Linked DNA regions of Caenorhabditis elegans. The protein of the gene in region 1 interacts with the protein of each later gene in a pairwise test. Each region holds a gene or a part of one and is shown in the gene's direction. Other genes may lie near its edges.

Region 1 (5,175 bases):
GGGCAATATATTTACCGCGCAAAATATCTCGTAGCGAAAACTACAGTAGTTCTTTAAATGACTACTGTAGGTCGATTTACGGGCTTCGCTTTTTGAAATGAGTTTCAGTTCGAATTGTGGCCTTTTCTAATTTTCGTCCAATTTTTCTTCTTTTTTTTTATATTTTCAACAATTAATTACAAAAAAACGATTCAAAATCGCTTTTCCACTGCTTTTCTTGTTGATTTTTCAATAAAGTTTCAATTTCACTGGTCTTTTTCTCTTTTTTCGAATTGGATAGCATTTTCATTCGAAAAAAAGAAAAACACAAGAAAAACTCAAACTTTATTGAAAAATTAACAAGAAAAACAGTGTAAAGCGATTTTGACTCTTTTTTTGTAATTTATTGATGAAAATTTAAAAAAAAAGAAGAAAAATTGGACGAAAATTAAAACCGCTGCCACAATTCGAACAGAAACTCATTTCAAAAAGCGAAGCCCGTAAATCGACCTACAGTAGTCAATTAAAGAATTACTGTAGTTTTCGCAACGAGATATTTTGCGCGTCAAATATGTTGTGCAATACGCATTTTCTCAGAATTTTGTGATATAGTAATAAAAATTAAAAATTTCTAGTATTTAAAATTGGAAACAAAAATTTCAGCTAACTGTGGATACCACGAGCATCTGGGTAGAAGTATCTTCGAAACAATCACTGGAAGCATGTAAAAAGACAATGGATGAACTGATTCTCTCAAGTCGTCAGATATTCCCAACTCTTTCAATTGATCAAGTCAGAGTTGTCGACAGTGATACACTTGTTTCAATTTATCCCGACAAAAATGACCTTCCAGGAGTCTCCCGGATATCTAATTAAAAATTTGACAAAAAAATAGTCTTAAATTCAGAAAATCCCCGAAAGAAAAATGAAAAATCAGAGTTTTTGACAAAAATGAGCGCTGCGACCAATCAGCGATTTGCTCCGCCCACTTTTTGACCAATCAGGATTTTCGGCGCAATTCTACTGGTTGTTCCAACATTTTTCATTGAAAATTAGTGTCAAAATATGGAAATTTACTATCAAAATGTATAAATCGATCTTTGAATTTTGCAAAAATTTTTGTCGCACAGAAATTGAGGCGGAGCTTGCTTTCGCAACACTGCCGCACGGGCAACAATTTTTGCAAAATTCAAAGATCGATTTATACATTTTGATAGTAAATTTCCATATCTTGACACTAATTTTCAATGAAAAATGTTGGAACAACCAGTAGAATTGCGCCGAAAATCCTGATTGGTTGAAAAGTGGGCGGAGCGAATCGCTGATTGGTCACAGTGCTCAATTTTGCCGAAAAGTCGGTTTTTTTTGGAATTTTTGAGTTTTTTTTTTTTGGATTTTTTTCCTTCCTTTTCACCTAATTATTTTGTTTTTGTTGTTACCATGTTTCTTGTTGTTTCTCCCCGATTTCCCCCGCTGACACTAGAATAAAAGTATCGTTTTTGTCGTGGGAAATGACTATTTCCTGTCTCTCGCTCTCTTTTTTGTCTCCAATTGGTTTTTTTTTGAATATAAAACCATGGAATATTTGTGGCGAGAAATTGTGCAATCTGTCGAGAGAAGTAATGCAATTTTCAGAAAGAAACGGATTTTAGAAATGACTGAAACTAGGTGAGTTGGAAAAAAATTAATTTTTTAAATTTAAAAGTGGAAAATTTTAGATTTTTCTTCAAAACAATTGTTTTTTTTTTGAAAAGTTCCAGAATTTTCTGGAAAACAAATTCTGAAATTTTTTAAAGAATTTCAGGTAAAAATCGAAATTTTTCGATTTTTTTAGAGTGTCTAGTTTTAAAATTGAAATTTCAAATTTTTTTAGAGTGTCTAGTTTTAAAATTGAAATTTCAAATTTTTTTATCTCAAAAAAAAAAATTGGATTTTTTTTAAATTGCAACAGAAATTTCCAGAATTTTCCAGTAAAAAACTTTAGAAAATCTGGAATTCCAAGAAAAGGAACACAGTTTTTTTATTAAAAATTTTTTTTGAAATTCTGGAATTTTTGGAACTTTTAACAAAAAATTAGAAAATCGAATTATTTTTTTTTCATTTTTTTTTAAATTAAAACCAAAAAAGAAAAAAAAAGCTTTTTTTTTCTCGTTAGAAAAGTTTCAAAAAACGTAATTTCTGAAAATTTGTACAATTTTTTTGGAAAATTCGGATTTTTTTGATGTAAAAAAAAATTTCCAGAATTTGTTGAAAAAAAAAGAAAAAAGAGATGTTTTTAGGCATTTCAGAATAAAAAAATCCAAAATTTTCCACTTTCTTGTCAGCAAATCGAAAAAAAATCCAAATTTTTTTTTAGAAAATCGAATTTTGAAATTAAAATTAGAATTTTTTAAAATTAAAAATAATAAAAAATCCAAATTTTCGATTTTTTTTAGAAAATCGAATTTTAAAATTAAAATTTCAATTTTTTAAAAATTAAATCGTTAAAAATCGAAAGAAAAAAAATTAAAAATCGAAAAAAATTGCAATTTTTTCAGCACAGTATCCATCGCCAGTAGTGCAATCGTCTGCGTCGAAGCGGATATAAAAGGAGAAGTTATAATTAAAGAAGGCTGCGTCGTCCATCCATTTGTAGTGTTCGACGCCACAAAAGGCCCAATTTATGTTGGAGAAAATAATATTTTTGAAGAATACGCAGTTATTCGGAATAAGTATGTTCAAAACATATGATACAGGAATCGCCAAATTGCCGGTTTACCGATTTGCCGGAAAAAAACGGCAGTTTGCCGGAATTTTAAATTTAATTTTTCTGGCAATCCGCCAGTTTGCCGGGATTGAACACTTCCTGCAAATTCGATAAATCGGCAATCTGCTGGAATGGAAAATTTCCGGCAAATCAGCAAGTTGCCGGAATTTAAAATTTAATTTTTCCGGCAAACCTACTTGTTGCCGGAATTTAAAATTTCCGGCATGCGGAAAATCGGCAATATGCCGAAAATAACAATTTCCGGCAAACTGGCAATTTGGCGGAATTCAAAATGTAATTTTTCCGGCAAATCGGCAGTTTGCCGGAATTATAAATTTAATTTTTTCCGGCAAACCACCAATTTGCCGGGATTGAAAATTTCCGGCAAAGCTGATATCCGGCATGCGGAAAATCGGCATATTGCCGGAATTGAAATTTCCGGAAAACCGGCAATTTGGCAGAATTTAAAATTTAATTTTTCCGGCAAACCGGCAATTTGCCGAAAATAAAAATTTCCGGCAAATCGGCAAATTGCCGGAATTGAAAATTTACGGCGAACCGACATATTGCCGGAATCGAAATTTGAAATTTCCGGCAAATCGGTAAACCGGCAAGGTTTTTTCCGGCAAATTCGGCAAGAATCTCCATTTCAACAGAAAAATTTTTAGGCAATGTTTGAGAAAAAAAACGATTTTTTTCCAGCAGCGACGGTCAACCAATGATAATCGGTGACTGGAACATCTTTCAAGTCCACTCGAAATCCAGTGCAAAATACGTTGGAAGCCGGAATGTGATTGGTGTGCATGCGGTGCTCGAAGACGGTTGCTCCGTTTCAGATGACTGTAGCGTTGGAGCCAAGTGTACAGTGTTTTCCCATCAAAATCTGGAACCTTCTGTGTCTGTTTATGCAGCCACGAATTTGAGTAGAACGACGAAAACGCCGAATATGGTACGGGAAATGCTGCTTTTTTTTCGCAAAAAGCGGCGCCGCACAGAAATAGAGGCGGAGCTTAATTTTGCAACCATGCGGCACAGTTTTTCTTTCTTTTTTTCACCCATTTCCCACAGTTTTCATGTTTAATTGTTTTTTATATGAAAAAAATTGAATAAAACAGGTAAAATTGGAAATTTTTTGAAATGAAGTGAAAAACAGTGCTGCATGGTTGCGAATTTTCGCTCCGCCTCTTTTTCTGTGCGGCGCCGCTGCTTTTTGTGCAAAATTCACGGATCAAGTGTCAGGGGTGGGCGGTAAATGATTTTTCAGGAAAATCGGCAAACCGGTAATTTGCCGGAAGTGAAATTGTCTGGCAAGTCGGCAAACCGGCAAATAGCCGGAATTCGCCGGAAATAAATTTTTCCGACAAACCGACAAATCGCCGGAAATTAAGTTTTCCGGAAAACCAACAAATTGGTGGAAATGAAATTTTCCGGCAAACCGCTAATTTGCCGAATTTGAAAATTTCCGGCAAATCGGCAAATCGCCGGAAATTAAATTTTCCGGCAAATAGCCGGAATTTTCCGGAAATAAATTTTTCCGACAAATCGGCAATTCGCCGGAAATTAAGTTTTTCGGCAAACCGGCAAATTGCCGGAAATTAAATTTTCCGGCAAACCGGCAAATTGGCGGAAATGAAATTTTCCAGCAAATCAGAAAACCGGCAATTTGTTACCTATTCTAAATGAAAGTAAACCTAAAAATATGGAATTTTCAGACATCGCCCCACCAAATTGAATTCCTGCGTAAAATCCTACCATCATATCATCATTTGTACGGGAAGAAGAAGGCCGTCGCTACTGCTTCTGCTTCTGCTGCACAATAACCTGCTTTTGGTTCAACCTATCTCGCATTTTAACTGCAATTATTTATGTCGGATATTTTTTTGTCCCCTATTTCTCACAAAATATAAATAAAATTCATGATTATTTTGTTCTAGGAGCACGTTCAGCTGAAATCATAAAACAATTAGCAACAAAAAAATAAGCAGCAAATAATGGAGGTAACTCTGCGAAACATCGTGTCGGAAGTTCCGACTCGGAACGTCCTAACTCCGATCTAGGACGTAGAAATTTTCCCTTTTTTTTTATTTAAAAAATTAAGCCATATAACAATAAAAATCAGAGAAATCGTTTTGGATTGGAGAAAAGATGAGAAAGAAAACAACTATTTTTCGAGGAACATCTCAAAGTTTATCCAATTATTAAAATTTTGGTTATGCCAACAGAAACATTTTCATGTAAGGATTGTGTCGTCTTCATAAAATTTGTCGGCTTTCTTCTCAGAAATTGATTGAACATTTTCAAAATGCCAGCAATTGGGTCCTTTACTTTTTTATCTTTTACTCAGGTGAACGGCCAGAGTCACTAAATTTGGTGAACGGTCAGAGTCACTAAATTTGGTGAACGGCCAGAGTCACTATTTTTGGGGAACGGCCAGAGTCACTATTTTTGGG
Region 2 (4,606 bases), on another chromosome or scaffold:
CTAACCTTCACATAAATTTTCTACAGTAATCTTTTGCACATGAATTTTCAAGAAGTGAAAATTTATATGAATTGTGGATTGCCAAATTAAAATTTGATACGATTACATTTTTATAAACTTTCACAATTGGTTTGTTTTAAAAAAATAAGTTTTTCTTGATTCTCTAACTCCTCTATTAGATCAATGATCTCTTAAAAGTGACCGCCCGTTTTCCACCCCAATTCCTCATTCCCACTCTTCTCCCGCACACGCATACATACCGCCCATCTCTATCTATCACATTCTCTCATTTTGACACACTGTTTCGTATGTTGTTTGTTCCAAAAAGTGTGTGACGGGTGGAAAACTGATGTGGAAATAGTGTCTTTTGCCCCTCTATCTTTTTGAAATGATAATAACTTTTTTCGAGAGTTTTTTGTTTTACTTTTTATTTTTTGAATTTTGATCGATTTGTATAAGTTGTATCTAATCTTGATCTAGATTTAACAACATTCATATTTCCCGCCAAATGAATTTTTAGGCCTAAAATTGTTTCCTTGGCAGCAGAATGTGTAGGCCAAAAAGTTATATAGAAAGATAGAGTTGACTCTAAAAAATTTTTAAAAATTAAAATTGTTGGAAATTATTATAATTCGTTAAACTTCAAACGGCTTCTAAAATTGTCACAATTGTGTGTGGGAAATTTAATGTGTTAGGGAAAACATTTTCCGCGCAAATTTGTCAAGATTAATTTTAGCATTTATTTGAATGATTTGCAGAATTTAAAGTTCGAGCTTCTCCGCTTTGCACTACTGGGCAATTCACTGAGCATAAAACCGCGCTTGCACGGTTGCTCTCCCCTTCCCGCCTCCACGCCTTTAAGAAGGTAGAAAAAAAATATAATCAAAAAAAAATATACAGCAACGGTTCAATATAATTGTAACACCGAACAGCGAGGCGGGCGATAGGAAGGCGAGGAAAAAGGCGCCATGTCGCCTCACCCTGATGGATTGCCAAATGGTAGTCAATGATGTTTGCATAATTTTCTTGATTCGTGGTATTTACCGAACTTGTACATCATACTTCACGCGAATTTTTGAAAATTGGTATCAAGATGGACCCTTCGTAGTTTGTCCCACATTCGTGTAAAACTTTTCTAGAACAAGACAATTTAAATTTCGTCCAAAAACCGAAACTCTGAAACAAATCTACCCAAAAATACGAAGTAAAACCAGTAGGAAATCATCAAAGTTCTGCACTGTTTGCACACAGTTTTCAATTTTTCCTCAATTTCCCTCTGCGTCTCTGACCATCTCTTAACTCTTCTTCTTTTCCCACTGTCACTTGACTTTTGTGATGTGACACACATATTTCCTATACGCTTCCCTCTTTCACCCACAAAAAGTTTGAATTCTGTAAATGATTTTTAGATCTCTTCCGGAACACTTTCAAACCGTCGATTTCAAATAACTGTTTCATACTAAAAGTTGAGGGAAATCTTGATTTAATTTCAGAAGCCTGCTCTACACCTGCTCTTCAGAGGAGATTCCACAGAAAGCCTCATCCAGAAGACAATGATTCCGTATCTAGAAATTTGCAGGTCAGTTGTTTTATTCAAAAATTAAACAATTTTAAACAAAAGGTTCTGACTATTTTCTAGTCTGCGTTTTATTCTAAAGTGTAATGTTTCCTACTTTTCCTAAGTCTCTCATTGTTGAACCTTCTTAATGATTTACTAGCTTCAAAAGAACGAAGCTCAAGGAACTGTTATACACAGTTTCAGAATTAAAAATAATCTAAAAATCGACACGAATTAAATGAGATCCTTCACAAGGAGAATAAACTGTGGGACGTCCGTCACATGTTCTGTTAAAAGTGAATTTTACTGAATTGGATAGATATCGAATCTATAAAAATCAATGTGTTAAACTTTTGCAAGTTTCAGTTTAAAATCAAAAATAAAAAGCTTCTCAAATAACGCTCTGTGGCAATAATAATTTTGAATATTCAAACAATTTCAAGGATAATAGGAACTTATTAAATATAGTTTCCCAGTCTCCTAGTCAAAATACGATTCACCCAATTTCCCTGACCACTTTCATAAAATTAGCCGAAATTGTTGTAGTGTAGGCAGTGATTTTTTCTGCTGCCTCAAAACGTTCAAGGAGTACTGTAGGTTTTTCATTTTCCGTACCGCCTGCTCTGTCAAAAATCCACATTAAGTGTTGATAAAATCGTTTTTATCAACGCGTTTTTTGCTGATTCCAACAAAATATTATGATAGCAAGAATGCTTACTTTTTTTTTCATTTTTCAGTTTAGTTCCTTTTCTTCGGCGAAAATGTAAATTTTGGTAGCTTCTCAAACAATGTTTCTGATAATTTGTACGTAGGGTTCCTACTCGGCAAAACGGCCTAACTTCATAGCATACTCTTGCAACTTCTTAAGAACAATTAGGCATTTTAGCTTTTAAGCAAACTTCTGCAGCTTTTCAGATGACTTTTGCAATTTCTTAGCAGATGTAAAGCTAAATTTCGCTCACAATCCCGTTGGTTTTCGCAACTTCTTGACAGCTTTTTACAAAGTTATATGAATGTTTTTATTAAGTTGCAGGAGTTTGCTATGAAGTTGCGACGTTTTGCCGAGTATAGAGATCATTAGAAGAAATGTGTATTGTATCCATTAATATATATATTTTTAGTTAATCCTCTCTAGTTTCACGAGAAAATCTGCTCAAAAAAAGGTCAAAAAACGGCGGTGATGCAGCCACATGACTTCTCTTCAGTTTTCTCTAGTTTCTCTTTTCGCATGGCTCAACAGAAGCCCATTGGGTCATTTTTTGCGCCTCTCTTTCTCTCCTCCAATCGCCACGCGTCTTTTGTGTCGTTTTCATGTGACTCTGGACGGAGGAGAGCACCGATCCATTTTTTTGATTGGAATAGGGGTGAAGATCTTGTGGTTGGGAGAATCTAGTTTGGTCGCAATGTTTTTTTTTTCAAAAAACTTTTGTGAAGCGTTCTAGAAAGCTTACTTCTGATGTGATGTTTCTATATTTAAAATCATAAAACATAGGTAGCCTGTAATATTTTCATAAATTTATTTTTGATGCAAAATGTCTTTTAACAATTTGAACTTTAAAAAACCCGTTTAAGCGATATATGAAAGCTCTCGCGCCTCCGTGGAACGCCTTGTTTCTAATTACAATTTAAAGCCTCTTTTAAAATAATTGAAAATCACAGCTTCTCCATTTTCCTCCTCAGTTCAATCCAGTTCGCTTCACCACTCCAAAAGTCCAAACTAAATTTGAAAATAGCTTTTGAAACCCAGAGACTCTAGAGAATCCGTCATTTTTTGTCCCATTTTTTTCGCACTTTCTGCCTAGAAGGTGGGTTTCGACCATTCATCATATTGCATAAAACAACTCTCTCTCTCTCTCTTGTTTGTTTGCCATTCCGATGCAAACCGCCCGTTCCTCTCGATGTGACGAACTGAATGAGAGAACGGCATAGTTAGTGTATGTGGCAAACGAAAACGACAATTCTTTTCCCCTTTCTCCAGCATTTTTTTCGCCCAATTCTCCCTCTTCCCTTTTGCCCCGATTGGTCTGATTTTTGATCGGCTCTCTGTTCGTGGTTCTGCGAGTGCATCTAGATGTAAGTTAGATGTAGATGAAAGTGTTTGGTTTTGCACTGTGTAATTTTTATAAATTTTGATTCACGGATGTAATCATCCCTGGTTATACATCATCAATTTACATGATTTTTTTAAAATTTGCACAATTTAGTTTCATCTGTAGAGTATTTTCCACACTGTAACCTATATTTTGCAGTTCTCAATTTTTGGTATATCTGAGAAGATACAAATGCCTAAAGTAAAAAACCTTCCATTTCAAAAATAGCAATATAAACTTTTACTGAATGCGCTAGAGGCTTTTCGGGGGTGCCTCTCACCCTTGTTTTCACGTTTCGCCTTGAAATAGTCAAATTTATCAAAAATTTGAATTTTTAAATTTCAAAGCGGAAAAGTTGTGTTACAATTAGAGAATGTAAAATACGATACTTTTTTTTTGCATAACTATAGCTTTTCAAAATCAAGACACTAAGGCATTTTTATAATCGTAAAACTATGAGTATTATTGTATTTCGAATATTTGCATATGCACAATATTGCGCAAAACTTTAAACAAGTTCCCCCAACATTTATTTTATGTTTTCTGAAACCAAGGCAACGAACTGAAAATCAGAGAACCGGTCTATCTGTTCGTTTTTTAAAATTCGAGTTTCTTCTCCTTAAAACCAATCAATTTTCTCATCTTCTTTTCGTAACGATGGCAGGCAACACAGCGGACAAAAAAACGAACGGAAATGTTGAGAATCGGCACGTTTTCGTTTTCGCCTCTCTAGAGAAATAGCGCTGGATTAGACTAGAGAAATCGGACATGAACCGAAAAAATTCATGGGATGGGCGCCAGAAATATATATATCGATGAATTCTGTCCCCTTTTCCTTTTCGATATGAAAGTTAACGATGGCAGCTGTACCAAAAAAAAGAGGGGAAAAACTGACTTTTCGACGATAAAAAGAGGAAGTTTGGAGGATGGAAAGGGAAATTTGAAGTTTAAATATAAT
Region 3 (3,814 bases), on another chromosome or scaffold:
GAAAAGTGTGATCACATGTCCGACGACACCCACTAAAAATTTGACAACTTCGTACTTTCTTCTCCTTTGAAATCATCAATTTCTCCTGGTCATAGGGAAAAGAGATAGAGAGAGAGAGAAAGATAGAAAAGAGAAAATAGATCAGTATCTGTCTATTTCTCTAATTTTCTCACTTATTCTTCATCGGAAGAAGAAGAAGATGAAAAAGACAACGTCATCCACAACCTGTCGTCCCCCACACACCCCTACGACCACAAAAACTGTCCCCGTTTTTTCGACACCTCCCTGATGTTTTTCCCGCAAATCCTATTAAAGCTCACGCGCCTAGACTTCTTCAGATAGCACTCATAAAAGCTATTATTCGCTATTTGTCAAGTAAAATTGCCACATTGGCTCCTGTCACGAATGAAAATTTTCCGCTACCGTACCCTTTATTTTTTGTTGTAATTTTCAATTCTTTTGATATTCTTGATGTAAAAATTATATTTTTTATCGAAATCCCGTCAAATATGCTTGGAAAAAACGAAATTTCAAGAAAATCATCATCTACCGTACTCATGGGTACTGTAGCTGAAAAGTTTCACTCGCGTCGAGACCCGGAAGCATCATTTTGCTTTGAAATTTGCGCGTTTTTCCGATTTTCGATTCAATTATTAGATGAATTGAAAACTATCAGCGAAATCGTTTTATCATTTGACAAAACCTGAAAATTTTCTAAAAATGTTTTTTGTCAGACTGAAGAAAAATTATTTTTAGATTAAAGGATTAAAGGATTAAAGGACGATCGGTTCTTCAAGTGCTATGCACTGCGGATCTGGGATTCAGGTACACTGCCTGGTGGTGATCCTCTGGGCTGTAATTTTAAGCCACGTCCTAGCCGGGGACTGTGGCCGATAATCCAGTCGTGGATTGCTCCACTTCCCAATAGACATTCTCTTATTTTAAAAATAGAAATGTTGCAATTAATCGGAATTTTGCAGTTGAGGGGTATCGCCCCAAAAAAATTTTAAAAAAATATGTTTCAAAAAAGTACTTCTTGAGGACTGAGGCGACTCAACTCTTCCCCCACCTTCCACCAATTTTGCTCATATAACAGTCCACAATTGTGTGCCCCTCAATATATTTCCCCTTCGGTATAATTGGCCCATTTGCCCTCCACAATCTATTCACACTGTCCATCCCGACCGTCCGTCTCTGTTTCTCTCTTCTCCGTCGTCCCCCACACTTTTCCTACCCCCGCTTGTCGTTTGCACGGCCTTCAAACCCAAAAAACCGATGAAAACCGTATCTGAAATAGTTCTACTCTCCGTTTCCTCGTTTTCTTTGTTCTAGAATGGTTTCAAGTTCGAAATTCTCAAAAAATTATGAGGTTCGAATATTACCCAGACGCAAAATTTTGAGATTTTTGCCCTGAAAATACGGTACCTGGCCGCGAAAAGGCAATTTCTGAGATTTACAAACGGGGGTGCGCCTTTAAAGGATACTGTAATTTAAAGCTTTCGTTGCTCTCTGATCAGATTTTAATTGATTTTTCATAGTTGATCTCACAATTTATTAAATCGAATAATTTTGAATTTTATTATCTTAATTATTAATAAAGTAATATTATTTAATAAGTAAATTTATTTTCAACCAAAAACTATGAAAAATCAATGAATACTGAAATTACAGTACTCTTTAAAGGCGCACACCCATTTGTTTTCAACAAAAATGTCATGTCGAGGGCCATTTTTGCAGCTGATTTTTGCTATTAACCCTGAACAACTAAAATTGAGAAAATTGTCCAAATTTCATTCATTTTAGCCATTTTTGTAAGTCGAATTGATAATTTCTGAAAAACTCCCGCCATTAATTTCAAATTACGATCTGCAAACACCATCACGTAAAAATGCACAGTTTTGCCTCACGTTAAAATTTGCAAATTTAATTTTAAAAAATTTATTTTCTCATCTTTTCTCCTCATATTCTCTTCATTTCTAGTAATTTTCGTTCGAACAATTCGATTTCAGAATCAATAAAACATTAAAAATGACGGAAGGGGACGATCAATTAATATCGATTCGCAAACAACTTGAAAATTTAAATAATGCAACAGATGACATCAACAGTTATGAGATGAAGTTGGAAACTGTCAAGAAACAGTTTTGGTGAGTTTTAATTCATTTTTTATTTTAAAATAATTGCTTAATCGCTACACGTCTAAAACTGGAAACCTTTTATTGCACTAGTCATTCTTAACCAATTAATTCGCAAAAAATCGTACCAAATCTGGTTTTGATGCTAAAATAATCTTATATATTTTCAGTGAAACCCAACTAATGTTCAACAAAGAAATGCTTGGAATCCCTAAAAAGTTGGCCAAACACATATCAAAATCCCGTCAATTTTTCGATTTGAAAAGCCGCGAATCGGAAATCAGAAGATGTGTTCAACAAGCGGCAGCTCAATTTGAACGACAAAAAACTTCAGTTGAAATGGCAAGAGAACAAGTGCAAATACTGCATAATTCATTGAATAACAATCAAGAATTGGATGCAGAGAAACAATATGTTGATGTGATTGAGCAACAGTTGGAATTGGTTAAAGAAGCTGAGGGAGAATGTTTAAAAGCTGAAAAGTGTCATGCATCACGTGTCAGGGATTTGTTACAGTTGGAAATGGCTTTAAGGAAATGTTTAGAGGAAAATGGGTGAGTTTCAGGCATCAGGCAATTTTCTGACAATATATTTTCCGAATTTCAGATCTGCCATCAAAAAATCCCGGCCCTATTACGAACGAAAAGAAGTTCTGACGCGAACAATGAATTCTCAACTTGAGTTAATGTCAATTTTGGAGCATGAAGTAAGAACTAATAAGAATAAAACTGTATATAGATTAAAATAATTTTTAATTTCCAGGTACAAGAACGAAAAGACAGCTACAGTGATTCGATGCGAGCTTTAGAGCAGATCAGCGATCAAATTCATCAGGAGCGTTCCTCGCAAAGCAGTTTGGCTCCTTCGAGTGATGCAGAATCCGACAGCTCTTGATACTCTGAGCCACACCCTTTCTTCTCAATTTTCCACGTGTAATATTAGATTTTTCACGAAGTTTCGAAATCTCGATCTCACTTGTACTCACGTTCCACACCCAATCAACTTCACCAAAAATGTATTTTTACGGGTTTCAATCCCCTTTCTCTTTGCTCCTCATTTTCTCTATGTATCTCTTTATTTTGTGTTCGTCTGGTGCTTAATAACAATTTTCTTGAAACATTAAAAATTGTGATAATGAGAAGACGATGAAGTGCCCACAAAAGCATCTACGTGTGCACACGCTGCACTTCTTGTCGGAGCACTGGATTTATCAAGCAATCGTGAAGCCAATGTGCATAGCTCACAAAGAGTGGATGCCCTTGTCGCTGGTGGCAATCTGAGGGTGAAATAGATTGTTGAAAAATTGTAATTTTTTGAAATTTTGAGACGTTAAAAAAAATCGAAATTTCGTTGACTTGCAACTTGCGCGTCATATATAGTGTCAAGTACGCATACACCGCGACGGTAGAATGCACAAAATTGTCAATTTCAAAATTTTCATGATTTTTCTTTTATTTAACAATTCAATTTCTCACCTGCTAACCGAAGCGGGTCTTCTTTCTTCTGGAATAATTGGAATTTCTTCATCAGAATCCCATTTAAAATACTGAAAATTGTTCACACGCCGGCCAAGCTTTGGAATGCTCTAAAAATATTTGTGTCATATTATTGTTTCACTTAATTGAAGAGATTACAGGCATTTCTATATCATTCCGATTATTGCTCAATTCCCTAATAAC

What was found. Proteins that work in one complex are often made in the same cells at the same time.
Region 2: the proteins of dnc-6 (region 1) and ncl-1 interact in a two-hybrid assay, tested with the Caenorhabditis elegans proteins (one large-scale study listed by BioGRID).
Region 3: the proteins of dnc-6 (region 1) and rei-1 interact in a two-hybrid assay, tested with the Caenorhabditis elegans proteins (one large-scale study listed by BioGRID).

What each region holds. Positions count from the first base shown.
Region 1 is NC_003279.8:3,166,579-3,171,753, forward strand, and holds dnc-6 (Dynactin subunit 6), read left to right. Parts: upstream 1-1,614; 5' UTR 1,615-1,633; coding exon 1,634-1,647; intron 1,648-2,516; coding exon 2,517-2,690; intron 2,691-3,427; coding exon 3,428-3,674; intron 3,675-4,437; coding exon 4,438-4,545; 3' UTR 4,546-4,652; downstream 4,653-5,175. Other genes in the region: Y54E10A.6 (B3/B4 tRNA-binding domain-containing protein), read left to right, coding at 643-855. UniProt on the Caenorhabditis elegans protein: Part of the dynactin complex that activates the molecular motor dynein for ultra-processive transport along microtubules.
Region 2 is NC_003281.10:7,718,238-7,722,843, forward strand, and holds the start of ncl-1 (RING-type E3 ubiquitin transferase), read left to right. Parts: upstream 1-1,553; coding exon 1,554-1,579; intron 1,580-4,606. UniProt on the Caenorhabditis elegans protein: Translational repressor that inhibits protein synthesis.
Region 3 is NC_003281.10:4,096,343-4,100,156, reverse strand, and holds rei-1 (Guanine nucleotide exchange factor rei-1), read left to right. Parts: upstream 1-1,966; 5' UTR 1,967-2,028; coding exon 2,029-2,147; intron 2,148-2,305; coding exon 2,306-2,689; intron 2,690-2,741; coding exon 2,742-2,841; intron 2,842-2,897; coding exon 2,898-3,029; 3' UTR 3,030-3,254; downstream 3,255-3,814. Other genes in the region: C03C10.7 (uncharacterized protein), read right to left, coding at 3,255-3,411, 3,611-3,720, 3,770-3,814. UniProt on the Caenorhabditis elegans protein: Guanine nucleotide exchange factor for Rab GTPase Rab-11.1. Spatially and temporally regulates the distribution of Rab-11.1 to target membranes during embryogenesis. Plays a role in cytokinesis, probably by targeting rab-11.1 to the cleavage furrows.